Linked DNA regions of Mus musculus: all the other regions are reported to be linked to region 1. The links are microRNA targets in miRTarBase. Many come from high-throughput screens and were not tested one by one. Region 1 holds a microRNA gene; each other region holds the end of a gene's coding sequence.

Evidence for each region. The annotated mature microRNA mmu-miR-665-3p reads ACCAGGAGGCUGAGGUCCCU and lies in region 1 at 3,995-4,014, shown strand. An mRNA with a match to its seed (bases 2 to 7 or 8) in the 3' UTR can be bound and repressed. Matches are read on the target gene's strand: a 7mer-m8 pairs with bases 2 to 8, a 7mer-A1 pairs with bases 2 to 7 and ends in A, and an 8mer does both.
Region 2: miRTarBase lists Bpnt1 as a target of mmu-miR-665-3p. Seed matches in the 3' UTR shown: 7mer-A1 at 5,898-5,904 and 7mer-A1 at 5,746-5,752.
Region 3: miRTarBase lists Plaat3 as a target of mmu-miR-665-3p. Seed matches in the 3' UTR shown: 7mer-A1 at 1,412-1,418 and 7mer-A1 at 3,451-3,457.

What each region holds. Positions count from the first base shown.
Region 1 is chr12:109,582,374-109,590,243 of GRCm38, forward strand. Mir665 (microRNA 665) reads left to right here and starts at 3,941; the gene lies at 3,941-4,034. Rtl1 (retrotransposon Gaglike 1) reads right to left here. Exons shown (of 2, transcript NM_184109.2): 2 at 6,820-7,870. The coding sequence ends at 7,796. Mir337 (microRNA 337) reads left to right here and starts at 3,416; the gene lies at 3,416-3,512. Mir3544 (microRNA 3544) reads right to left here and starts at 3,500; the gene lies at 3,440-3,500. It also overlaps Mir540, Mir3070a and Mir3070b.
Region 2 is chr1:185,355,729-185,363,063 of GRCm38, reverse strand. Bpnt1 (3'(2'), 5'-bisphosphate nucleotidase 1) reads right to left here. Exons shown (of 9, transcript NM_011794.3): 9 at 5,295-6,586. The coding sequence ends at 6,438. It overlaps Eprs (glutamyl-prolyl-tRNA synthetase), which reads right to left and starts at 20. Exons shown (of 32, transcript NM_029735.2): 1 at 1-20.
Region 3 is chr19:7,584,707-7,592,041 of GRCm38, forward strand. It overlaps Plaat3 (phospholipase A and acyltransferase 3), which reads left to right. Exons shown (of 5, transcript NM_139269.2): 5 at 859-3,839. The coding sequence ends at 960. Among named protein-coding and RNA genes, the nearest start is that of Lgals12, 19 kb to the right of the region's middle.

The DNA.
Region 1 (7,870 bases):
TGTCACACCAAACGCCCACCGCTGGGATGTATCATCCATAGCCCCCACACCTAAGTGACATTGAATCCTGCCTCCACCCCTGTCACCTGGAGTCTCTCTCCTCACTTACACAGCCACTGAGTCATGGACTTCTCAATTTGTGTGCTAGACCAAGTCTGTTACCCTCCCCTGTGACACTGAGTCCCCCTCCCCCCTCCCCTCAGTGTTCACCCTTGCTCTTCAGGCATGTAGAACCCCGCCTGCCCCTCTGGTTTTACCTAAAGCACAGCCCTCTTGCTCTCTTGAGGTCCTCTCCTCTTCATGGGTCATGTTGACCTCATGCTTGTGAATTGCATAGTCCCCTCCCCTTTTGTGTTTCACACCAATTCCCCCTCTGCCACCAGGTGTCACACCCATGCGTGTGTCATGCCGAGCCCCTTTTGTACCCATGTGCCACATGAAGCACTACCTTCCTGTGTGTCCTCCCCTGTGTCACTTTGAACCTCTCATCCCCATTTGTCATACCATGCTCCAGCCTATGTGCCTCAAACAGAAAAGATTCTCCATGCTTCTTACCATGAGCACAATCCACCTCTCCTGACACCTGGAGTCTTGCCTCCTTGTGTCTCTCTACTCCTGCCTCACATGCTCTTTTCCTGTGACACACTGAACCCCTTTCCTCTCACACAGACTCCCCTCGGTCACCTGTCACACCTTTCTCACAGAACCGTTCTCCTTCTGTTCATCACATGGGGTCATGCCACCTAGGTATCAAACTGGTCCTCACTGTGCTATCCTAAGTCTTTCCTTGGCCGTGTGTCCCACAGTTCCTCAATTCTCCTTTGTGTTAGGCTAAGTCCCTTTTCAACAGTGGCACTCAGAGTTATGAGCTCTCTACCCTCGCACAAGACATTTGTGTCTCTTTTCCAAGTGTTTCTCATCTAGACCCCATTACATGTCAAAACTTTCTACACCTATGTCACACACAGAGCCCCTCCCACCACCCATGAATCACAACAAGGGTCCTGAGTCACACTGCGTCTCATCTCTCCACGGGTATCACATTCAGCTCCACTCCCCTACCTGGGTCAGAGTAAGTTTCTCTTCCCTATCTTTACATGGTTTCCCACTACACCTGCTTTGTCTTGGACAGACCCCTCCCATCAGGCTGCACTTCCAAGACCCTCTGTGTTCATGTGTTAACATTTCTTATGTCTTATTGCTGGCCTCACACTGAGTCCTCTCCTCTTGTCATCCTGTGTTAGGGTTAGGCTATTGTCAGCCATGTGTCTTAAAGAGAAAATTCCATAATGGGGCACGCTTTGCCTAGCTCCACCCATATGTCCTGAAGAGCACCATTCCTCTACATGTGTCATGCTTAGCCTAACCCTTCCTACGTTCTGTATGCCCCCTCTCACACCTGTCGTGGTCACCTGAGTTCTACCCATGTGTCCTAGAGAGAGAACACCTCTCCCCACGTGTGTCATGCTTAGCCTAGCCCCACCCGTGTGCCCTGTGCACCCGAGCTTCATCCCACTTACTCCCCATTCACCTTAGGCCCCTCCCTGACTCTGAGCTCCTCCATCGTGAGAGGGCCCCTAAATCATGTGTCCCATAGCCCTCGTTCCTTTTAGTCACCACAAACCCTGCTGGTGCTCCAGATGCGGTACACGGAACTCTTCTCCTCTCGCTCTCTCTTCATGTTGGGAAGCCCCACCTCTGCACGCAGCACGTTGAGACATCCACCCCTTGCCTTGTGACATGGAGCGCTCTGCCTCTACACATACCACACTGTGACGTGCATGTCCTCCAGGTCACAAAGCAACTCATAGGTGTCACATCTAGTCCTTCTCCCCACTTGTGATGAACACTTTCCTTGACAGATGTCACACCGAGCCCCTATTTCCTCTATCAGAGCCCCTCCTCCTTATGTCCCACATGCAGCCCAGTCTCTTTCTCAGGAGTCATAGGCTCTCCTGTACAAGAGTCATACTGAGCCCCTCCTCTTTTTATGTGTCATGTTACCCCTCCTCTGCACATCACATTTACATTTTTTCTCCCCTGTACCATGGATTCTCTCCCCCATGTATAGCCTTGGACCACTCCCCATCCGCTAGATTTAATCCCTTAATCTCTCCATATGTTACTGACACCCCCCTGTGTAGGTAGGCATCATGGGATGTCCCTGTTCTTTTCTTTATGACATGAAGACCCCCTCTTTGCGTGGGATATCATATCCTTCATCTCTCCCTTGTGACATACGTCACCCTGAGACCCTCCTGCTTCCCGTGAGCCATGTCCCTATGCTCCCATACACATACATGTCCCTTTGCAACCCTCTTCTGCCCTGGATGATGTGCAGCTGTGTTCCACATGCTGCCCTGAGCCCCCCTTCTCTCTCTCCCCTGCCCCACTGACATCTGCAGCATCTTACCACAGCATTGAGCTGCCTTAACCCTTTGTCATTCACATGTCGTGTGCAGCTCCCTTCCTCCCTGGCTTAACACCGAGTCCTCCCTTCCCCACCTGTGTTCACCTGTCTTCTGGCCTCCCATCCTTACTACTCCCTCCCACCCCCATACTACCTCTTTATACCCTGCTCTCTGAGACTATGCTGGGACAAGTGTTTGTTGGCAGTTGGTGGGTGTGCCAGACAAGGAAGAGAAGAGCACAAGTCAGGAAAGATTTTTTTTTTTTACTTTATTCATATGTAAGGTGATACACATGTGCCATTCAAGCTGGCCATGGTGACAGAGGCCTGTCAATCATAGCCACACTTGGAAGCCTGAGGCAGGAAGATGGAGAAGTCGGGATCCACTCTGGATTACACAGATCCTGTTTCAAAAACAAACAAACAAACAAAAAAACTAACAGGCAAGCAAAAGCAGTTTGTGGTTTTTAGTTATTCATGGAGGAGTGTAACTCAAGTTGACACTCAAAGAACCTGGGGAGCGGTTGTTAGCTGTACCTGCAGTTTGTCCCCTCACCACACTGAGTAGCTTTTAACCCATGCATCTTTTTGGGGGATCCATCTGGGGCGTCTAAGCTCCTGCTGGTTCCCATGAGTCCCTTCTAGGTCTGCAGAGGAACCCACTGGATACTCGGGATGGACCTTAGCAGGACACTCCTGTGACCACAGTCACCCTTCCTTCCCTCTCCGCTTCCCCACCCCTCCTTCAGTGCTCCCTTGCCCCTCCTCTCTCCCTCCCATCCCTCTGCTCCCTCTCCCCCCTCCTCATCCCCTGGATTGGCTCCAGTCACTCCATGAGAGTTTATAAGAAGTGAGGTTGGGCAAGGAGGGTAGATGCTTCCACTGTGCTGCAGGTGCCCTAGGGCTGGCTGGCCTTTGGTTTCCTTCCTCTAACACTAAGCCCTGGGAGTCTGTCCTACCTGTTGTCTGTGCTTCTTGCCTTGCTTTTTCAGGAGAGGAGGGTCCCAGTGTAGTGAGAAGTTGGGGGGTGGGAACGGCGTCATGCAGGAGTTGATTGCACAGCCATTCAGCTCCTATATGATGCCTTTCTTCACCCCCTTCAACCGCGTGAGGCCTCCGGACCCTCCTCCGCGCACCTTGGGCCGCTTAGGGACGCGTCTTCAGCTCGCTCTTTTCCCCTGGCATGCTTTCTCGCCATTCTCCACAGTTCCTGGAGGGGAATACCCGGGGCTGGGCCATACCTGAGATCATTCCTTGGCGGGGGAGCTATACCCCTGGTGGGACATTCCCTGGGGCTGGGCCAAGGGTCACCCTCTGACTCTGTGGCCAAGGGTAGACAGGTCAGAGGTCGATCCTGGGCCTACTCTGGGGCTCCTCCCACTGGGATTCCAGGAGCCGTTCTCTCCTGGAGGTCCTCTGAGGGGACCCAGCTCCTAGCAGAAAGGGTGGATCCTTGAGAGATGGGGTCTTTGTTACTAGAGCAGGGCACAGGGCTGAGACAGGGCAGGGCTGAGCATTACCAGTGCTCCCAGAACAGGGTCTCCTTGAGGGGCCTCTGCCTCTATCCAGGATTATGTTTTTATGACCAGGAGGCTGAGGTCCCTTACAGGCGGCCTCTTACTCTCTCCTTGAGCCCTTCTGGAGACGTCTCACCTCATTCAGTTCAAACTCTGGATCCCCTAAGGAGTGCAGAAGATCCCTGTTCATCCTCCTCCCAGGCCGGGTGCCCACAGACACTTCAGTAGCACAATGAGCAGCTGGCGTAGAGTCTGAACCCCAATACCTAGGTCATTGCATGCATACAGGGCCCATCTCCATCCCCACAACACCACCATTATTAACTGCATTTACCAGCTATGGCAGCCAGCCCCGGCACACAGGAGCACCCTGAGTGAATAGCCTGGAAGCTGTGAAAGGATTTGAGGGCAGGACAGGGAGGACCCAGGCCACACCCAGTCCCCCTCCCCTTCACCACTGTCTCTCCCTTCCCTGTCCCCCCCTCTGCCCCCAATCTCCTTCTTCCTACTTGTGCTCCTGCACGGTCTTGGTGGCAAGATGGTCATGCGTGTCTCTCAGCTCACACAGGTGGATCAAAGTCCAGATGAGGTTTGCTGCTCAGGTCTCAGATCGTGTCTAACGATGTGGTCCCCTGGGCCCAGCACCAGGGCTTAAGGTGTATGGGACAGTTGAGGGGTGGGTAATATTTTCTTTTCCTTTTCTTACTATGGGGGTAGCCCAAGTTAGCCCAGGTTACCCAGGCATGTGGAGATCTCTGCTCCAGCCTGGTGAGGAGCTGGTAAAACTCTGGACTCAGGGTCCTGTGTGTGTGCTGTCACTGGCTCTGGTACCTGCAGGGACATCTTATAAGGGGAAGCAATGGAGAGGACAGGGAAGGTGGGCAAGGGAGGGCCCCTGCTCCTCTTTGTTCCTGGATGCTGTCAGAGCTCTCTGGTTGGGGACTGAAGCTGGGAAGTGGGGGCAGCTCCTTGGTGGGTGGAGTCTGCAGCCAGGGCCTGGCCTCTGGTTTTCACCTTGACAGGGTTGGAAGTGATGTTATCATCCCCTAGCAGGAACTTTCACACCAATTTCTTTCTTTTCTTTTCTCTTCCCCAGGAGAAAAAAAAAGGTTTGTGTTGTGTTTTTCAATCTCTATAAGTGGCTCCGCCGATAACCTGATAACCTACCGTTTTAGCACGTTTTAGCACGTCACCAGCTCTCTTCACAGTCCGGACCACCTCCTTTTGCTGTTAATGGGGACAAATCCCTGCTGGGTAGATTGGTAGGCCTGCGGGCCTTTATTGTCCTTTATGGTCTGTGTTCGTGCGGGCTGTGGGTAAACGCACCTCTGCAGTCAACATCACTGGCAGCCTCTTGGCGGGCTGCTGGCTCACTGAGTTCTCCTTCACTCTCACTTGCTTGGGGCCCTCAGGGCCTTGGGGCCCCTGGCAGTAGTCCTGACCTAAGTCATCTCTGCATTCACTGGGCCAGAGAAGTCCTCACCAAGCAGGGACAGGATTGTTTTGTTTTGTTTTGAGGCCCAGTTTTGTTGGAGGTGCCCAGGTAAACTAAGTGAGGGTACAGGACTGGTACGTTTGTTCTCCTCCAATAGGACCCCAGTCCCACCTTAAGGTTATGGACGCTCCTTAGGAACAGGAGGAAGTGCTGAGTGAGGCTGAGCCCCTGACCTTGAACCTGGGATCCTATCCATGATCTCCTGGTGCTACCGTCAGGGGTAGATTCCTTGTCATGAGGCCCCTTAGGACCCATAAGGACACAGTGACCCCAGTGCAGGCTGGAGGGGGCGTGGAGGGATGCAATCTTGCGTTCTAAGTAGGGTTTTTCTGGGACCCAAGCTTATAGATCCTGTATAGATGGGATCAAAGAGCTGAAAGCAGGTAGGGGGAGGTGTCATGCTGGGTATCCAGGGGTCTGACACATTCTCAGGCCAAAGAGGGCCCCTTGAGGTTAACTCAGGGGTACATTTCCAGGCAAGATATAAAGGGCAGAGTTAAGAAAGGGCCCTTGGGCGTGAGGGCCCTGCTCATTGCACCTGCCCACTATCTTTGAGGTCACAGTGGGAGGGGGCCCTTGTTTTTATACTCCTAGCTTGTGTGCAGATTTTCTGGGTAGGAAGTATAGAGTTTGTGAGTAAGGGACTATTTGCTCAATTTCCCTCTACCCCTAGGAGCTCCTTCCCCATCCCAGAGTATCCCTCAAGATAGCTTTTTTTAAGGCAAGGATCTCAGGGGCCAACTGTGGGAATGGTTCCAGTGGGGGGCCACTGGAGCCTCCTTAGCAACAGGAGGAAGTGCTGAGTGAGGCTGAGCCCCTGACCTTGAACCTGGGATCCTCCCCATGATCTTCTGGTGCTATGGTCAGGGGTAGATTCCTTGTCATGAGGCCCCTTAGGACCCATAAGGGCACAGTGACCCCAGTGCAGGCTGGAGGGGGCGTGGAGGGATGCAGTCTTGGGTTCTAAGAACTGTTTTTCTGGGATCCAAGCTCAAACATCCTGCCTGTTGACCCTCCTCAGCTGTGGGCATTGAGCACAGTCTGGCCATTCCTCATTTCTCATGTGACTAGAGGGCTGGGACCAGATGAGGGCTGGGAATTCTGGGTACCCTCCTTCTGCCCCATGAAACCCTTGGTCCATTTCCCAGAGGAGCCCAAAGTTTTGAGAGTGAATTGACTTCCCTCCCTTTAGGAGAAGACAGGAGGCCTGTTGCTCCATGTCTTCATGAGCTGTTTCTGGAGAGTCAAGCCCTCCTATCCCTGCCCCTCCCACCCTTGCCCTTGCCCATCCCAACCCTCTCTTCACACTCCATCCTTTCTGACCCCATGCTCCATGTTCTCCAGTCCTGCCTCCTACTATCCACCCTCTCCCTTTTAGAACAAACCACAAAGTCAGATAATCTTTTCTTCTCTTTATTCATGGGGCAAAAGCAGGTATGAGTTGGGAAAGCAATGGAAGGACCTCTCCTTCCTGTGGCAGTGAGCAGTGGGTCTGGTCAGAGCACTCTTGGCTCCTTGGCACAGTACTCTGGGTATCTGGGGCTTCACCAGTGTCTCTTGGGGGCTCCCTCCTTTATGGAAGGTCTCTGTCCCCTGCACTGTCCATATGTCCATTTGGGGAGGGAAAAGGGAGCCCCACTTGGTTGCTACCACCCTTTCTTGGGTCCTCTGAGTCTCAGGGACCTTCAGGGTGGATCAGTCCATCTGGTAAGTCACACTGGTACGTCGAATGCTCCTTGGAGCAGTTCTGCCCAGGTAAGATCAGAGTTCAGGGTCAGATGAGGTGTCAATGGAGCCGGACCAGACCGGTAGTGGGTGGGTGGGTTGTGGGGGGGGGGGTGGACTTGCTTGCAGGGTGGGCTGGGGTTGTGGAAAGCATGGAACCACAGCACCTTGGGAGACTGGGAGGGAGTAGGGGCGTGTCCAGGGGAGTCGGAGCACCGGTGTAGAGGTAGAAGTCCGTGGAGCACCCAAGGTCAGTGTCCCAGGATGCACAGGTGGCCGCCTGCCACTCAGGGGGTGGTGGTGGGGTCACTGGCATCTGCTTGCTTGGCTGCACCTGCTGTATCTGCTCTGCATCTGGCCTGGGGTGACGGGGTCACTGTTGCTCATCACTGCTCTCTCCTCATTGGTCTCACTCCCTTTTGTGGGCCTGGGGCCCGGACAGTTAGGACAGTTAGGGTTACACAGTCTTGGCTGGTTCTGGGACGCTGATAGTTGGCTAGTTCTTTAGCACAGATGATGTTGCTGGTTGATGAAGTTGTGGCCCTTCACAAGTGGGTTCCCCTTGGGTTAGGAGTAGCAAGAGGGTGTGCTGGATCTGAGCGAAGCTGGCCGAGGCACAAGGGAAAATGACAGTGACTTGGTGTGTTTTCAGTCAAGTTCATCATCTGAGTCTGATAGCTCTTCTAGCCTTGCCTGTTCCCTGGCTGGGGAAGGCAGCGCCAT
Region 2 (7,335 bases), not on the chromosome of region 1:
GGAGTCGGTGCGCACGCTACGACACGTCATAAATATGCGCCCGCCAAGGCAGCCTTCGCTCCGCCCCACTCCACGCGCCACGACTGCAGAGAGGTCAAGGCAGGCTACTCTGTGCGTCATCGCTGCGCGCCCACGACATTTCAGCCTCTCTCCCGTCCCCGGCCCGCGGATACTGACGTCTGGCGAACGCTATTGAACGTAATCGCCGTGCGTCGCCTCCACCTTAACCGCACGCTCCAGTTGCCTCTTGGCAGCAGGACTGGGCACCCGTGAGGTGCCACTCCGTTGTGGAAAAGGAACAGCCGTTAAGACCCATCGGAAAGTGAGGGAAGCAGGCGGACGATAGACTAGTCCATTCTGGGGCAGTGGCACATCCATGCACAAAGTCGACGAGCTACACTGGGTATAAGGGAGCTTCCCTTCAGTCTTCTCTAAAAGGAAATATTTTCAGGATTGTTTGGTGTGGTGCACGTCCCAGCATCTAGGAGGCAAGCTAGAAATACAGAAAACTATGGGGACAAAGAGAAAAAGGACCTGCTTGCTGGGCCTCCTGGCCCTGAGAATCAAGATTTCCAGATGTTACTATCTGTAGTGAAGCCTGCCAATATTGACAATGTTTGGGGGTTTTGTTTGTCTGTTTTAGAGAGAAGCATCTTCAAATGAGAGGGTTAATAATAATTCAGGCTATACAGAGAAACCCTGTCTCAAAAAACCAATAATAATAATTCAGGCTGGAGGCCTACGCGTATGTGAGCTTAAGGATGGTCTGCGAACCTCACAACAGTTAACTTGTGTTCACAGTGGAAACAAAAGAACAATTCAGGAACAGCCCATGACCAAATTCCTTAATAACCTTTAAAAATAATAACTTCAGTGTTCTTGCTAAGACCATGAAGTGTGACTGTGGTATGCGTCCTCTTTGGAGCACCTGTCAACTCCCATGCTTTAAAAAAAAAAAAAATCACATAGTAAACTCCAACTTTGAATCATAGTGGCTGCCTCTGAGGAGGTCTTCATGATAGACTTGTCTTGTCATTTCTGGAATCCAAGGTAATTAGAGAAGAGTATGACTGGGGGTAGGGGATTGAGTCAGAGAAGAAACAAAATGGCATTAAGTGCACTGGCTGGTGCCTTCTTTCATTCCTTTGTAATAGAAGTACCTTGCCGGCTGCAAAATGGCTGTGTATAAATGCTGGTTCAGAGGCAGGGACCCAAAGAAATAGCTACCCTATAGTTACATGAAAACATTGGCACATTCCTGAGGCTATTGGAAGGTAAGGGTAAATATGTACTGCTTCTGAAATCTCGCCTGCACCTTGAACTTGAACTTTTGGAAAATGCCCTGGGCAAACACATGCATCACAGAGAATTTGGATTAGAAACCCCCCTGAAAGATGCCTACTTATACACCCGGAAACAGGACAAATATTAGGGCAGCAGTGTGCTTTTGGTTTTGCATCTGAGCAATCTAGCCAAGGCTCTGCAAGTGTTCTACTCTTAAGATACTAAACACTGAGTCCTGAAGTCTTTCTTGAAGTTCTTGTCTTTTAACCATTACTATACTTATTTGTTGGTTTGATCGTCTGAGGCAGAATCTCTATATCTACCTATCTATCACAAGGATTGACCTGAAATAACTAAAGAACTCTATTTACAAAAAAAAAAAAAAAAAAAAAAAAAAAAAAAAAAAAAAAAAAAACCCAACCAACCAAAAAAACCAAACAAACAAACTGCAGAAAATGGGTTATGTCACAAAAATGAGGCGTTTCCCCAATCCTGTATCCGAAGCCCTGATGCATGCTGGGGAAATCACCACTGAGCTACTTTAAAATGTTTACTTAGGGGGTGGGGATAAGGAGTGTCTCAGCAGTTAAGAACAGTGGCTGCTCTCACAGAGGATTCTGGTTTAATTCCTGGAACCTACATGGTGGCTCACAAACATATATAACTCAGATTGCAGGGTGTCTTAGTTAGAAATTCTGTTGCTCTCATAAAACACTATGGCCAAAAGCAACTTGGGATGGGGGCAGGCTTATTTTATCTCACACTTCCAGATAACAGTCCATCACTGCAGCTGAGTAGGAGCAGGGATTCAAGCAGGAACCTGGAGGCAGGAACCTGATATAGAAGCCATGGAGGGGCGCTATTTACTGGGTTGCTCTTCAGGGCTGGCTCAGCCTGTTTTCTTATAGTACCCAGGACCACCATCTCAGGAATGTCACTGAATACAGAGCTGGGCCCTCCCACGTCAATCATCAGTCAAGAAAATGCACCACAGGCCAATCTGGTGGAAACATTCCTTTTCCAAAATGATTCTAGCTTCTGTTAAGTTGACATAAAACTAGGAAAGAATCCCATACCTTCTCTGGCCCCTGCAGGCATTAGATGCACATACATGTGCACAGATATACATGCACATACATGTGCACAGATATACATGCTGGCAAAATACCAACAAACATAAATAAAAAGAGCACTTGCTGTTACCAGGGTTACCACAGGCAGCTCACCACCATCTCTAACTCCAGCACCCTCTTCAGGCCTCCAGGGCATTGGCCTCACACATACAAACCACACATACATAATTTAAAATAAAAAAACAACTTTTAAATTTGTTTATTTTTCTGTGTGTAACCCTGGAGGTATATGAGGGCATCCAACCTCCTGGAGCTGGAGTTATAGGTGGATGTGAATCACCTGGTGTGTGCTGGGAAGTGAACTCGAGATCTCAGCAAACCAGGAAGTCTTCTTTATCACTGAGCCATCCCCACAGTGCCCCCCCCCCATTTCTAAAAACTCAGTTTATCTCACTGTTCATAGAACTGTATGCCAGCAAGAAAGAAAATAAATGAAAACAAAATAGAATGAAGCAGTGATGATCAGATGTGGTGGAGTTACAAAACATGTGGTTTTGTCAAATTAGAGTGGGAGCAAGACAGAAGGACTGTTTAGAAACAACGTGGGGGAGGGGAGACTATAAGACATCAAAGTAGGCCTTAAGAGTGGAGGTCTAGCTTGTCAGTTTTGTTGTATGTTTGAGGCAGGTTCTTACAACATAGCAAAAGTGGGCCTCAGTCTTAGAATCCTCCTGCTTCAGCCTCTGGTGTACCAAGATGGCAAATGTGTACCACCATACTAGGCTTAGAGTTTGAGCATTTTAATCCAAATACATATTGTGTGTTTATTGTTGTTAGTTTCAGGCAGGATGATATTGTTGCCAGAGTTGGTCTCACAGAATCTTCAGCACTCTAAGTCGAGCATAAGCTACTGAGAATTCGTTGAGCTCTACATTTGTACGTCTGGGCAAAGACCTTATGTGAAGTCGTTTATTTGGAGGTATCAGATAATCTACTGAGAAAGTGGAAAGCCAGGAGTACAACCTCAGCCAACAGTGACATCTGAGGGAAGGAAGACAAGGAGAGAGCAAAATGACTGAGGGCAAGCAGCTAGAAGGGAGAGAACGAAAATCAGGAGTTACGAGAGGGAGTGATCAAATCCTTCGAAGCCACAGATATGCCTTCCTGTTACTAGATCCTGACAGTCCTATAAAAAAGCCATGGATGTAATCCCAGTGAGCAATACAGTAATTATCCCAAGATCAGCATAAAATGTAATTACTTTTAATTTTTGTGTATGTATGCATGCCTGCATAAGTTATGTGTGACATGTGTGCAGGTGCCTTAAAGGGAGGGAGGGTGTCAAACCCTCTGGAACTGGAGTTGCAGGAGATAGTGAGCTGCCTCTTAATGTGTGCTGGGAACCAAATCCAGATCCTCTCTAGAGCAACAAGGACTCTTAACCCCTAACCTATCTGTCCAGCCCCACCCCCTTTTTTTAAAGAACAGTGTCTCCCTGTATTACTTAGACTTGAACTCTTCATCCTCCTGTATCCTTCCTAAGTTATTGCAATCACAGGCAAAGCCACATGCCCAATGTAGCCTTTTTTTTTGGTTTAAAGATTTATTTATTTTATGTATGTGAGTACAGTGTCATTTTCTTCAGACACAACAGAAGAGGGTACCAGATCTTGTTACAGATGGTTGTGAGCCACCATGTGGTTGTTGGGAATTGAACTCAGGACCTATGGAAGAGCAGTCAGTGCTCTTAAACCTCTGAACTATCTCTCCAGCCCCAAAAGCAGCTTTCTGAAAGCAAAATCAACCAATCAACCAATCAATCAATCAATCAATCAATCAGAATTAGTGCATTGAAAAAAATTTTTCAGGTGAATCTGTCATGCAGTTGTTTTGGAGACTGCTGCTCTAGTAATTAAACCCAGGGCCTTAAACATTCTGAGTGTGCATTCTACTTGCTTCATCCAAAAGAACAGACAGAGACCAAAACAGTAAAAAAAAAAAAAAAAGCCATGGGGGGAGGATATAGTTTAGTTGGTAGAACATTGGACTGGTATGTACAAAGCCCTGGATTCAATATCCACAACTGGAAAAAAAAAGTGAAAAAAAAAAAACATTAAAGTAGGAGAGTGTATTAGGGCTTCTGTTAAGGATTGGAACAGTCAGAGGTCAGGGAGAATCAGGGTCAAACATGACCGCTACACTCATGAGCTCACAGCAGCTGAGGTTGCCTAAGACCCCACCAAAACCAAGATCAAGCCTGTTAACATTCCAGCTTGGCAGGGGAGGGGCATCTACCACCATCTCACGGCATGCTGACATTGATAGCTTCTGTAGGAGTAAAAGCTAGCTTTCTTTAAGGGTGCAGCTTCTGGTAGGCCGACTACACTCAGTGGATGACCACTTACCAGAGAACATGGACAGCAGAAACTAGACTTGGTCGTTACTGTAAGAAAAGGAAAAGAGGCTGGGAAGTGGTAAGAGGTGGAGTGGGTCTGGGAGAGGTTACAGGCGTGTGAACGTGGTTGTGGGAAGGAATGGCAATTATGATCGGCACAGACCTTTGCCTGAATGAAATACCCAAAGATTTGTGAACATCACATTTAAAGAAGACTCTTGTGTTGCTGTGACAAGTGCCAGAGGGAAAGATTTCAAGAAGGTTAGGGGTGGGGCTGCCAGGAGGGATGGTGGACAAAGCAGCTCACCTTACGGCAACCAGACAGCAGAAACAGAACCCGTGGCACTTGGCTTTCTCTGTCCCCTTTCATTCCATCCAGGCTCCAGCATAGGCGATAGTGCCGCCTACATTTCCAGCTCAGCTCATCCTTCCTGGGAGCCCTGTTTCCTGATGTAGGTAGGGCTTCTCAGTCTACTGAAGGTGACAATCAAACTGATTGTACATTCTCTCAGGGGAAGGAATAAAGGCAATTACCCAGCTTTCCAATTATAGATTTTAATAACAAGAGAATAAATTAATCCTCACATTATTTATAATTTTCAAATACTTTTGAAAAAAATCTGATATATAATATGAAAAGATAGGACTATGTATTTTAGAGAAACTTTCCCCCATAAATCAACATAAATAATATCATTATATGCATTCTTATTTGGAATCAGAAATTTTAAAAATTACTGTGAAAAAACAAAACAACTGAAATTCTGGAGTAACTTAAGACTCTGTGCCCTGAAGAAATCTGGTTTATCAGCAGGAATGTTGACTGCACAAATGACTTGGACAGTCATTTGAAACTAACCCTTTTTCATTTCTTCACTTAGAAATAGTAACATTTGAGCCAGGTGTGGTGGGGCAAGCCCTTAATCCCTGCACTAAGGAGGCAGAGGCAGGGGAATCTCTGAGTGCAAGGCCAACTTTGTCTACAGAGTGAGTTCCAGGACAGCTGGGGCTGCACAGAGAAACCCTGTCTCAAAAAAACAAAAACAATGCCGGCCGGTGGTGGCACACGCCTTTAATCCCAGCACTCGGGAGGCAGAGGCAGGCGGATTTCTGAGTTCAAGGCCAGCCTGGTCTACAAAGTGAGTTCCAGGACAGCCAGGGCTACACAGAGAAACCCTGTCTTGAAAACAAAAACAAAAAACAAAAAAATAAACAAACAAAACAAAACCCACAAACAAGCAAACAAACAAAAAGCCCAAACAACAAGAGAAAGGAAAAAAAAAAAAACAAAAAAACAAAAAAAAACAACTGGTCCTGTTAGCTAATTAGTAAAATTAAATTCCTTTTTTGTTTTCCTTCTCTGTGTTTAGGCATATCTTGCTATGTAATGGAGGCTAGGCTCAAGCAATCCTCTGATTCAACCACTGGAGTAGCTATGACTATTGTAAGTGCCACCACACCTGGCTAATTTGTTTTTAGGCAGGAGAAATGACAATCGTATCATATACTTAAGTCTTAAGCGTATTAGATGATGTGAAGAAAATTCTTTAATTCCATCTTCTATCCCTAACTACTAATAAATCGCTGATCAATGATAAATGCAGGCAGAGCTCCAATTGTTCAATTAGTAATCAGTATTAAGATGTGTTCCTTTGAACCAAGGCCTCTGGGTAAGTGAGACCCCTTCATGGAATGAGCGCATTTTTGACCGACTCTGGAACATGGCTTGCATAGTACTCGTAGTTCCTCAGTGCAGCCAGGACACCGGCAGAGTTCATATGTTTCACCTCCTTGTTGTACTGCAGGGCATTCCCATGGATGTCTGTCAACTTCCCTGCAGAAGAACATCACAGTCAGTGGACAGCTGGATCAGGATGTTTCGAGGGTCATTCTTTGGGGGACAGGATGGAGAGAACTAAACCCCAGGGCTCACACTAAGCACAGGTTTTACTACTGAACTATGTCAGCCTTCTTCTTTTGTTTTTATTTCTGAGAAAAAGTCTAAGTTGTGCAGGCTTGACGTAAGATCTCACTGTACGCTCATTCTAACGCCCTGGCTGACTTGGAACTTACTAGGGAGGTTACTCCTGAACTTGCAGTGATCTTGCTTGTACCTCAGGAATTCTAGATCACAGGCCTATTCCACCTCAATATCCTCGTGATTTCCCCGGTCTCTGGAACTAGAGATTGAAGCCAGTGCCTGTGGTACACCAAATGTGAGCCCTACCACTGAGCCTGGTGCTCTCAAGTCTGTATGTCTTTCTTATTTTATTTTAAATTAATTTATTACTAGTGATGGTGGTACAGGCTTTTAACCCCAGCACATGGAAGGCAGAGGCAGGAGGAACTCTGAGTTTGAGGCCTGGCTGGTCTACAGAGTGAGTTCCAGGACAGCCAGGGCTACACAGAGAAATCCTGTCTTAAAAAAACAAAATAAGCCAACCAACCAACAAAACCCCCAAAACAAACAAACAAACAAAACAGATTTCTTTCTTAGAGTTAGAGTTAGGAAAAATTGAAGATTTATCTTATGTATTTAGGGTTTTCCCTGCACGTGTGTATTGTGGAACACATGAGTGCCGA
Region 3 (7,335 bases), not on the chromosome of region 1:
CCTTTCTTCTACAAGTTGCTTTTGGTCACGGTGTTTTATCACAGCAATAGAAACTGTAACTAAGACCAAGTTTGAGACCAGTCTGGACTACATGCAACCTTTTCTTAAAAAAATAAAAATAAAAATAAAAATAAATAAAAAGAGACCTGTGGAATAGAGGCAACTATGTCTTGACTCTGGTCTCTTGGTGAACACTGGAGTCCATACAAAGAGAGAGCTGGGTGTAGTGTCATGCCTGGCACTCAGGAGGCCAAGGCAGGGGGTCTTGAGTTCAGGGTGCTACAGAGCAAGATCCTGACTCCATAAGAGAAAAACAAGCATTCAGCAAAACAAACAAACAAACAAACAAACAAACAAACAAACAAACACAAGAAACCCCAGCCCTTTAAAGGGCTGAGCACCTCCAAGCCTGGCAGGCCGGACACTGGACACATGGCATGAGGTGAGGTCCTTGCTCTCATGGAGGTCAGATTTTTTTTTTTTTTTTGAGTTCTCAATTGCAATCCCTTCCTGACCTTACACTTGCCCACTGGCTGTCCATCTTCCCATTCTGCTGTCATCCCTCTCTTCTTTCCATAGATGCCTTACAAAGGTTTGTATGCTTTAAATAGTCCAGAGCCTCATTCAGGTTACTATTTTGAGTCTGTGTCAATTCCAGGCCAGCTGGTTCTGTCCATTCATTTCCTTGCCCAGCCCTCTCCTTCCCACTGCCCCTGCCAGTATTTGTTGGCTCTTCAGTTTGGCCACTGGAAGCGAAGGGGGCATGCGAAGTGACATGAGCAGAGTGACCCTGGTCAATGAAAAGCCTGTTCCCACACTCGTTACACAGAGCTTGACTCACCCTCCTCTCTGTTGCAGGTCAGAGATGCGGTCAAGGCGGTAGGCATCGCTGGAGTGGGCTTGGCGGCCTTGGGCCTCGTTGGAGTCATGCTCTCCAGAAACAAGAAACAGAAGCAATGAGCTGAATGACTGCCCAGTTTTTGGGCTCTTCTTTTGCTAGAGGGTTTGGAGTTTGATTTATAGATTCTATTGCTTTATAATTAGGTTTATTTTCACAACATACAATAAACCACAAGAAAGGAATTTTTGTGAGGATACTGCAGTAGCTACCTGGTGTGAAGTCTCTGGAGGGAAGCTCGGGGCTCTGTTCTGGATAACAGTCTTTCCTGGCTGGCCTTTCTGTTTGCTGTGGTACCCTTTGTATTGCAGAAAACAGAGTCCAACACTGTTATCTCAAGTGAAGCGCATTACTGCGTGCCAGATACTATGGTATGCCAAAGGAGACAGCCTGGGTACACAGAAATGGAAACATCAGATAGCCAGGGATCTTGGCCTAGAACTTGTTTCAACGTGGCGCTTTGAGACTCAGGCGCTGGAGTTTATGGATATTCAGTGGTGTGAGAAGGACAAATCCTGGAGTGTTGGGGCTTTAGCTCAGTGATAGAGTGCTTTCCTGGCGAGCATGCAGTTTTAGGTTCAATCCCTCGTGTCATCCTAAAACCTTCCGATTTCCTTCTGCAGTACAGCTCTGTTCTAGTCAGGTTTCTATTGCTAAGATAAAGACTTGAAACCCCTTGGGGGAGGAAATGGTTTATTGGCTTACATATCCCTGGCCACAGTCCATTGAGAGACGCTCAAAGGAACTCAAGGCAGGAACCGAAGCAGAAACCATGATGGGTGCTGCTTATTGGCTTGCTCGCCGTGACATACATCTTGTCTGTTGGAGCCCTGGTCAGGATTGAAACGTTGCTCTGTAAAAGCTTTCTCCCGACTTATGCGCATCTTGCACAGAATACACATGTGCTCGCTGAGTTCCAGCACTGAGAGAATAGTTTTCTTTGGCTCAGGTTCCTTAGGGCTTCACGTCAGTGCTCAAGGTCCCCAAACCCAAAGGACCTAGACCTAAGTTCAAAGGGCAGGTGTCCCGATGCTCACCCTCCCACACAATATTCATAATATTTAGATAATATTAATTTATACCTAAACTAATAGTGAGTGGGGCAAGAGAAAGAAGGAGAAAAAACAAATACAAGAGAACTAAATGAAACTTAACTGTCAAATGAGGAAAAGCAATCTGGGGCCGTGGAGAGGGCTCAGAAAGTGGAGCTGTTTGCTGCCAATTCTGTGGACCCGAGTTTAGTCCATGGGATGCACACAGTGGAAGGAACAAGCCAACTCCCAAAAGTTGTCTCCTGACCTCCACTTATGTACCATAATATTGGTGCACATATATCTGCATGCAATACATAAGTAAGCACTATAAAAAGTTTTTAAAAACTGGAAGAAAATACAGACTTTAAGGCAAAAATAATTTACTACACAGAGATTGTGTGTAGTATATAATTGAACAAAATGATTACTACACAGAGATAATAAAACAATCTTGATTAAAGTTTCAACTCAATTAAAGTATATACTAATTCTAAATTCATTTGCATTTAATAGTCTCAAAGTAGATCGTGAATTCTTGGCCAGTAAATTGACAATTTACCATTGTAGTCGGAGATCAAAATGTTATGGGGTCTGCTTAAATCCAACTCGACTCAAACACCAGATCAATGCAAAGGACAAAACTGTGTCGTGACCAAGCTGCTACTGATTGACCAGGGCTGCAGGACAGACTTGGGAGCTGAACTGTGACCTGGAGCCAGAGTGCTACAGAGCTTTAAAGCTTGAAAATCACCAACATCTGGGCCAAGTTACAGTTACATTTTCCACCAATCAGGATTTAGGGACAGTGGATTTCCTTAGGAACTTGTCTTTGTGCTACACTTATCCTGTTCCCATTGGTTGGGCTATTCAACTATGGCAGGACCACTAACCTAACATTCATGTCTGAACTTGTCAACCAGGATGTCAGTTACCTATGTGTATCTCTCTCTGCCAAACAGGATGACAGGCACCCAGTACCCAGTACCCAGGGAGGTCTTGGGAACTTAAATTTTATTTGACTCCTATTTAAAATGAAAGTTTTACTTAAAATGGCTTCATTTTGGTTCCTTCTTAGAAAAATAAATATTTTTTGAGGCTGGAAAGATGGCTTAGTGGTTATGAGCACTGGCTGCTTTTCCAGGGAGCCTGAGTTTTGTTTCCCAACACACGTGGTTCTTCACAACCATCTGTAACTTCAGCTCCAGAGGATCCAGCAACTTTTTCTACCCTCCACCAGCACTGCACACACAGACATACGTGCAGGCAAAGCACCCACACACATATAAAAACTAAAAAAAAGTATAACTTCTAGGACCTGGTAAAGCAACATAAAGATGTAGAAAAGTTTAAAAAGTTGTCAAGAAACAGTTTCAATAGACATGCAGTATAAGTGTGAGACACAAAGTCTAACGACATACATAACACATTTATAAAAAATTGATGATATACTAGTACAGTGGTTTGAACAAGAACGGCCTCCATAGGCTCAGACAGGATTTCTCTGTGTACCGTTGGCTGTCCTGGAACTTGCTCTGTAGGCCAGGCTGGCTCTGAGCTCACAGAGATCTGCCTGTTTCTGCCTCCTGAGTGCTAGGATTAAGGCCTGCGCTACTTCTACCTGGCTCTTACATTTTAATGCTTGGTTATCAAAGAGTAGCACTACTTTAGAGGGATTTGGAGGTGTGGCCTCGTTGGAGGAAGCGTGTCACTGGGAGTGGGCTTTAAAGGTTCAAAAGCTCAACCAAGCCCAGTGTTGCTCTCTTCCTGCTGCCTATGGATCAAGATGTAGAGCTCTCAGCTATCTCTTCAGCACCATGTCTGCCTGTATGCTGCCATGCTTTGGGCATGATAACAATGGACTAGACCTTCAAACTGTAAGCCAGCCCCAATTAAATGTTTTCCTGTATAAGAGTTGCTGTAGTCATGGTGTCTCTTCACAGGAATAGAACACCCGGTGTCTTGGTGTTACAAATGGCTGGCAGGGGTGAGCTGGGGTGGGGGTGCCTCTTTTGTTCTTTCATGATAGAAATCACAGAGAGGCAAGATCCAACTCTTAATGTTGGGGATCCTTAGATTCAGAGGGTGAATTTCCAAGCCCAGAGGCAGATAGTTCTAATCTCTGAGAAGCAGAAGCTTAGGATTGCAAGCTTTCAGAGCCAGAGACTTGCTGTTCTCAGTAGAGGGTCACTGCTAGAGAGTCACTGCTGTGGGCTCAGTGGGCCACAGCCAGCTGTGGTACAGCTTCTGAGTGTCAGGACTTATGGCTTGTTTGTCTCTGTTGGTTCCACCAAACTTTGTAGCAGTTAGGAAAGATCTCATAGGCTCAGCTTCCACAAATCAAAATCACTCATCTTTCACAATAGCTTCAGCTTCTTTGATGTCCCTTGCCCTTTCAACACTTCTACCATCTGGATCTGCCTTTTTTTTTTTTTTTTTTTTTTTTAAGACAGAGTCTCACTATATAATCCTGGCTGGCTTTGAACTTACAGAGATCTGCTCTCCTCTGCCCCCCAAATGCTGGGATTAAAGGTGTGCACCACCCTGACCAGCTGTCTCTGGCATTTTTTTTTTTTTTTAAAGATTTATTTATTTATTATATGTAAGTACACTGTAGCTGTCTTCAGACACTCCAGAAGAGGGCGCCAGATCTCGTTACGGATGGTTGTGAGCCACCATGTGGTTGCTGGGATTTGAACTCAGGACCTTCAGAAGAGCAGTCAGTACTCTTACCCGCTGAGCCATCTCGCCAGCCCTGTCTCTGGCATTTTGAAGTTTCTGTTTTCACTGGGACTCTCCAAACCCTTCTGCGCCCTGGCATCAGATCTCAGAACTTTAGGTGTCAGAGCCCTAAGGTCAGCTGCCTGGTGTATTTCTCTAGCCACAGGTATGAGAGACCTCTCTCTATTCCTGTGACTCCACAGGGTTCTTCAGCTGCCTTCATACAGTGGTGGCTGTTGATGTCACTGGAAGCCCCAGCGTTCTGCTTGTTTTTGTAGCCAGTCCAGCTTTCATTCCGTGTTAAAGACCACAAATAGACAAAAAGCCTATCCTGGAGACTTATGGAAGAAAGAAAGGCCTCCTAACTATCCTGAAAAAAAACAGGAAAACAAGCTATTTTTGTAGACAGAAAAGGGGCAAGGCACATTTGTGGATGCTTCAAAATTCCCATCCATCACTTAATGGTACCTAGTTCCAATCACTGGCCCTGTATAAGGACCAATCACAAGATTTCTGGGAGTTCTCTGGAACAAGGCCTCCTGCAGTGGCAGCTGTACCTCTCATAACTGGAGTGCAGTTACTTCAAGTCACCGTATGCCTGGCTGCCATAGTGTGGTGACTAGTCACCCAGAGAGGTGTTGCTTGGTTGACCACATACCATCCAGAGTAGCTGGTACAGGGAAGTATCTGGCATTTGCCAATTAAAGGGTAAAATATGCCAGGCTGCCAACAGTCTAGCTTATCTGAAAGAAAAGTACACATGAATGGTGCTTACAATAGCAGCTTATAACTAACAACATTCCTAGCAGTATTTGACAGTGTCTCAGATCATAGCTCAATACTTTATAGAATGTTAGGTTATGCTGTGTCTTGGATTGGTAACATGGTTTAGAAGGTAAAGGCCCCTGCTCCCAAGCCTGTGGACTTGAATTCAGTCCCTGGGACTGTTGCATAACAGTCTCCTTCGAAACTGGAACACTCCTTCCCGCAGGGAAGCATTTTAAGCAGGGAGGTCAACTATTTAAAATAGCTTCAGGAAGTTCCTGAAACTGATCAGGCTCACTAGGTCCCTCTCCCCCAGAGTAGGCAATAAAACTGCTGAGAGTCACTCTCAAACAAGCCAAGGTGCAAAGAGGGTTCTGACAAGCAAAGCTAGAGAGACTGAGATCAGACCAGCTGCCTGGAAGAAGCAGAAACCAGCTGAGCTGCCCGGAAGGGGTTTAGACAAACCGAATCACTTGGAAAGGATATTTTTCAACCTGGTGAACTGCTTTCAGGCTGTGGAGTGAGCTCCAGGTTCCCAGCTTTTGTGAGCTATCACCTATGCTGAGGTGGGCCTTGGTGATGCAGCTGTCACTGGGTCATTTCTGCTCCTCTAAGTAACCTTTCACCCATATTCCTATAATTGGTTCACTAAGTTGGACTTCAGTGGTATCTGTACTTTGGTCTGCTGTGGTCTCCCTATCTGGGATGAGTAGACATGTGCATCTCCCCAGGAAAATTTTTGATGCACAGCAGGAACCTATGCAATGAGAGGAGAAAACTGACTCCCAAAAGTTGCCCACTGACTTGCACTTGTGTGTCAGGGCAACAGACCCACAGATTGTCAGAAGCTCTAGAGTTGTAGTCACAGATGGTAGTGACACCTCCCCCAACACACATGGGTTCTGGGGAACAAAACTGCAAGAGCAGTAAGTGCTCCTGACCCCCCCACCCCCTGAGCCATCTCTCTATTCCCTGTATACAGCATTTTAAAGGGGGTTGAATTTGAATTTCTTTTGGGGATAGCTCCTATGTGGGCCAAAGGTTTTTTTGTTTTTGTTTTGGGTAGACTTTTATGTAGTCCCAGTGGGCATCCAACTCATTATGTAGCTGAGGATGTCCTTAACCCTTTCTGAGCCTCCTACATCTACCTCTCAAACACTGGGATTATAGGTGCTATTATGCTTTGTTTGGGGGACTAAGGGATGGCCCCAGGGCTTCAAGCATGCTATAGATCACTCTACCTACTGTGCGACATCCCTGACCCAATTAAGCTTGTTTTCAATCAGATGCACAAGGCTACTTTCTATATCCACTTAATTATTTATTTTTACATCTATTTATGTGTGTGTTTGTGTGTGTATGTCTGTGTGTGTGTGTGTGTGTGTGTGTGTAACATCTTGGGGTTCCTGTGAAGGTCAGAGGACAATTTTTGAGAGTTGGTTTTCTGACTTTGTTAGTTATTTGTCTTGATGCTGGGACAAAATACTTGACAAAAGCAACCGGGAATACAGTATACGGTCGCTGACGGTTTGGCAGCAGGAGCAGGAGGAGACTGGTCCTATTCTGTCCACAGTGAGAAACCAGAGTGAGAGATCTCCCTGCTTTAGCTCATTTTCTTATTCTAATTCAGTCTGGGACCTTGTCCATGGAATGGTGTCTGCTACATTTAGGTTTTTTTTTTTTTTTCACTTCAATTAATCTAATCTCGATAATCCCTCACACACAAGCCCAGAGACTTGTTTCCATGGTGATGCTATATTCCATCCATCAAATCCCCCAAACAAGACTAACCACCATATCAACCATAACACCGCTATTTATAAAATAAAATGTTTCAATCCAAGTTATTTTTATTTATTTGTTTTTGTGGTTGCAGGAACAAACCCAGGGTAAGTACATTCAAGGCCAGTGCTCTACCGC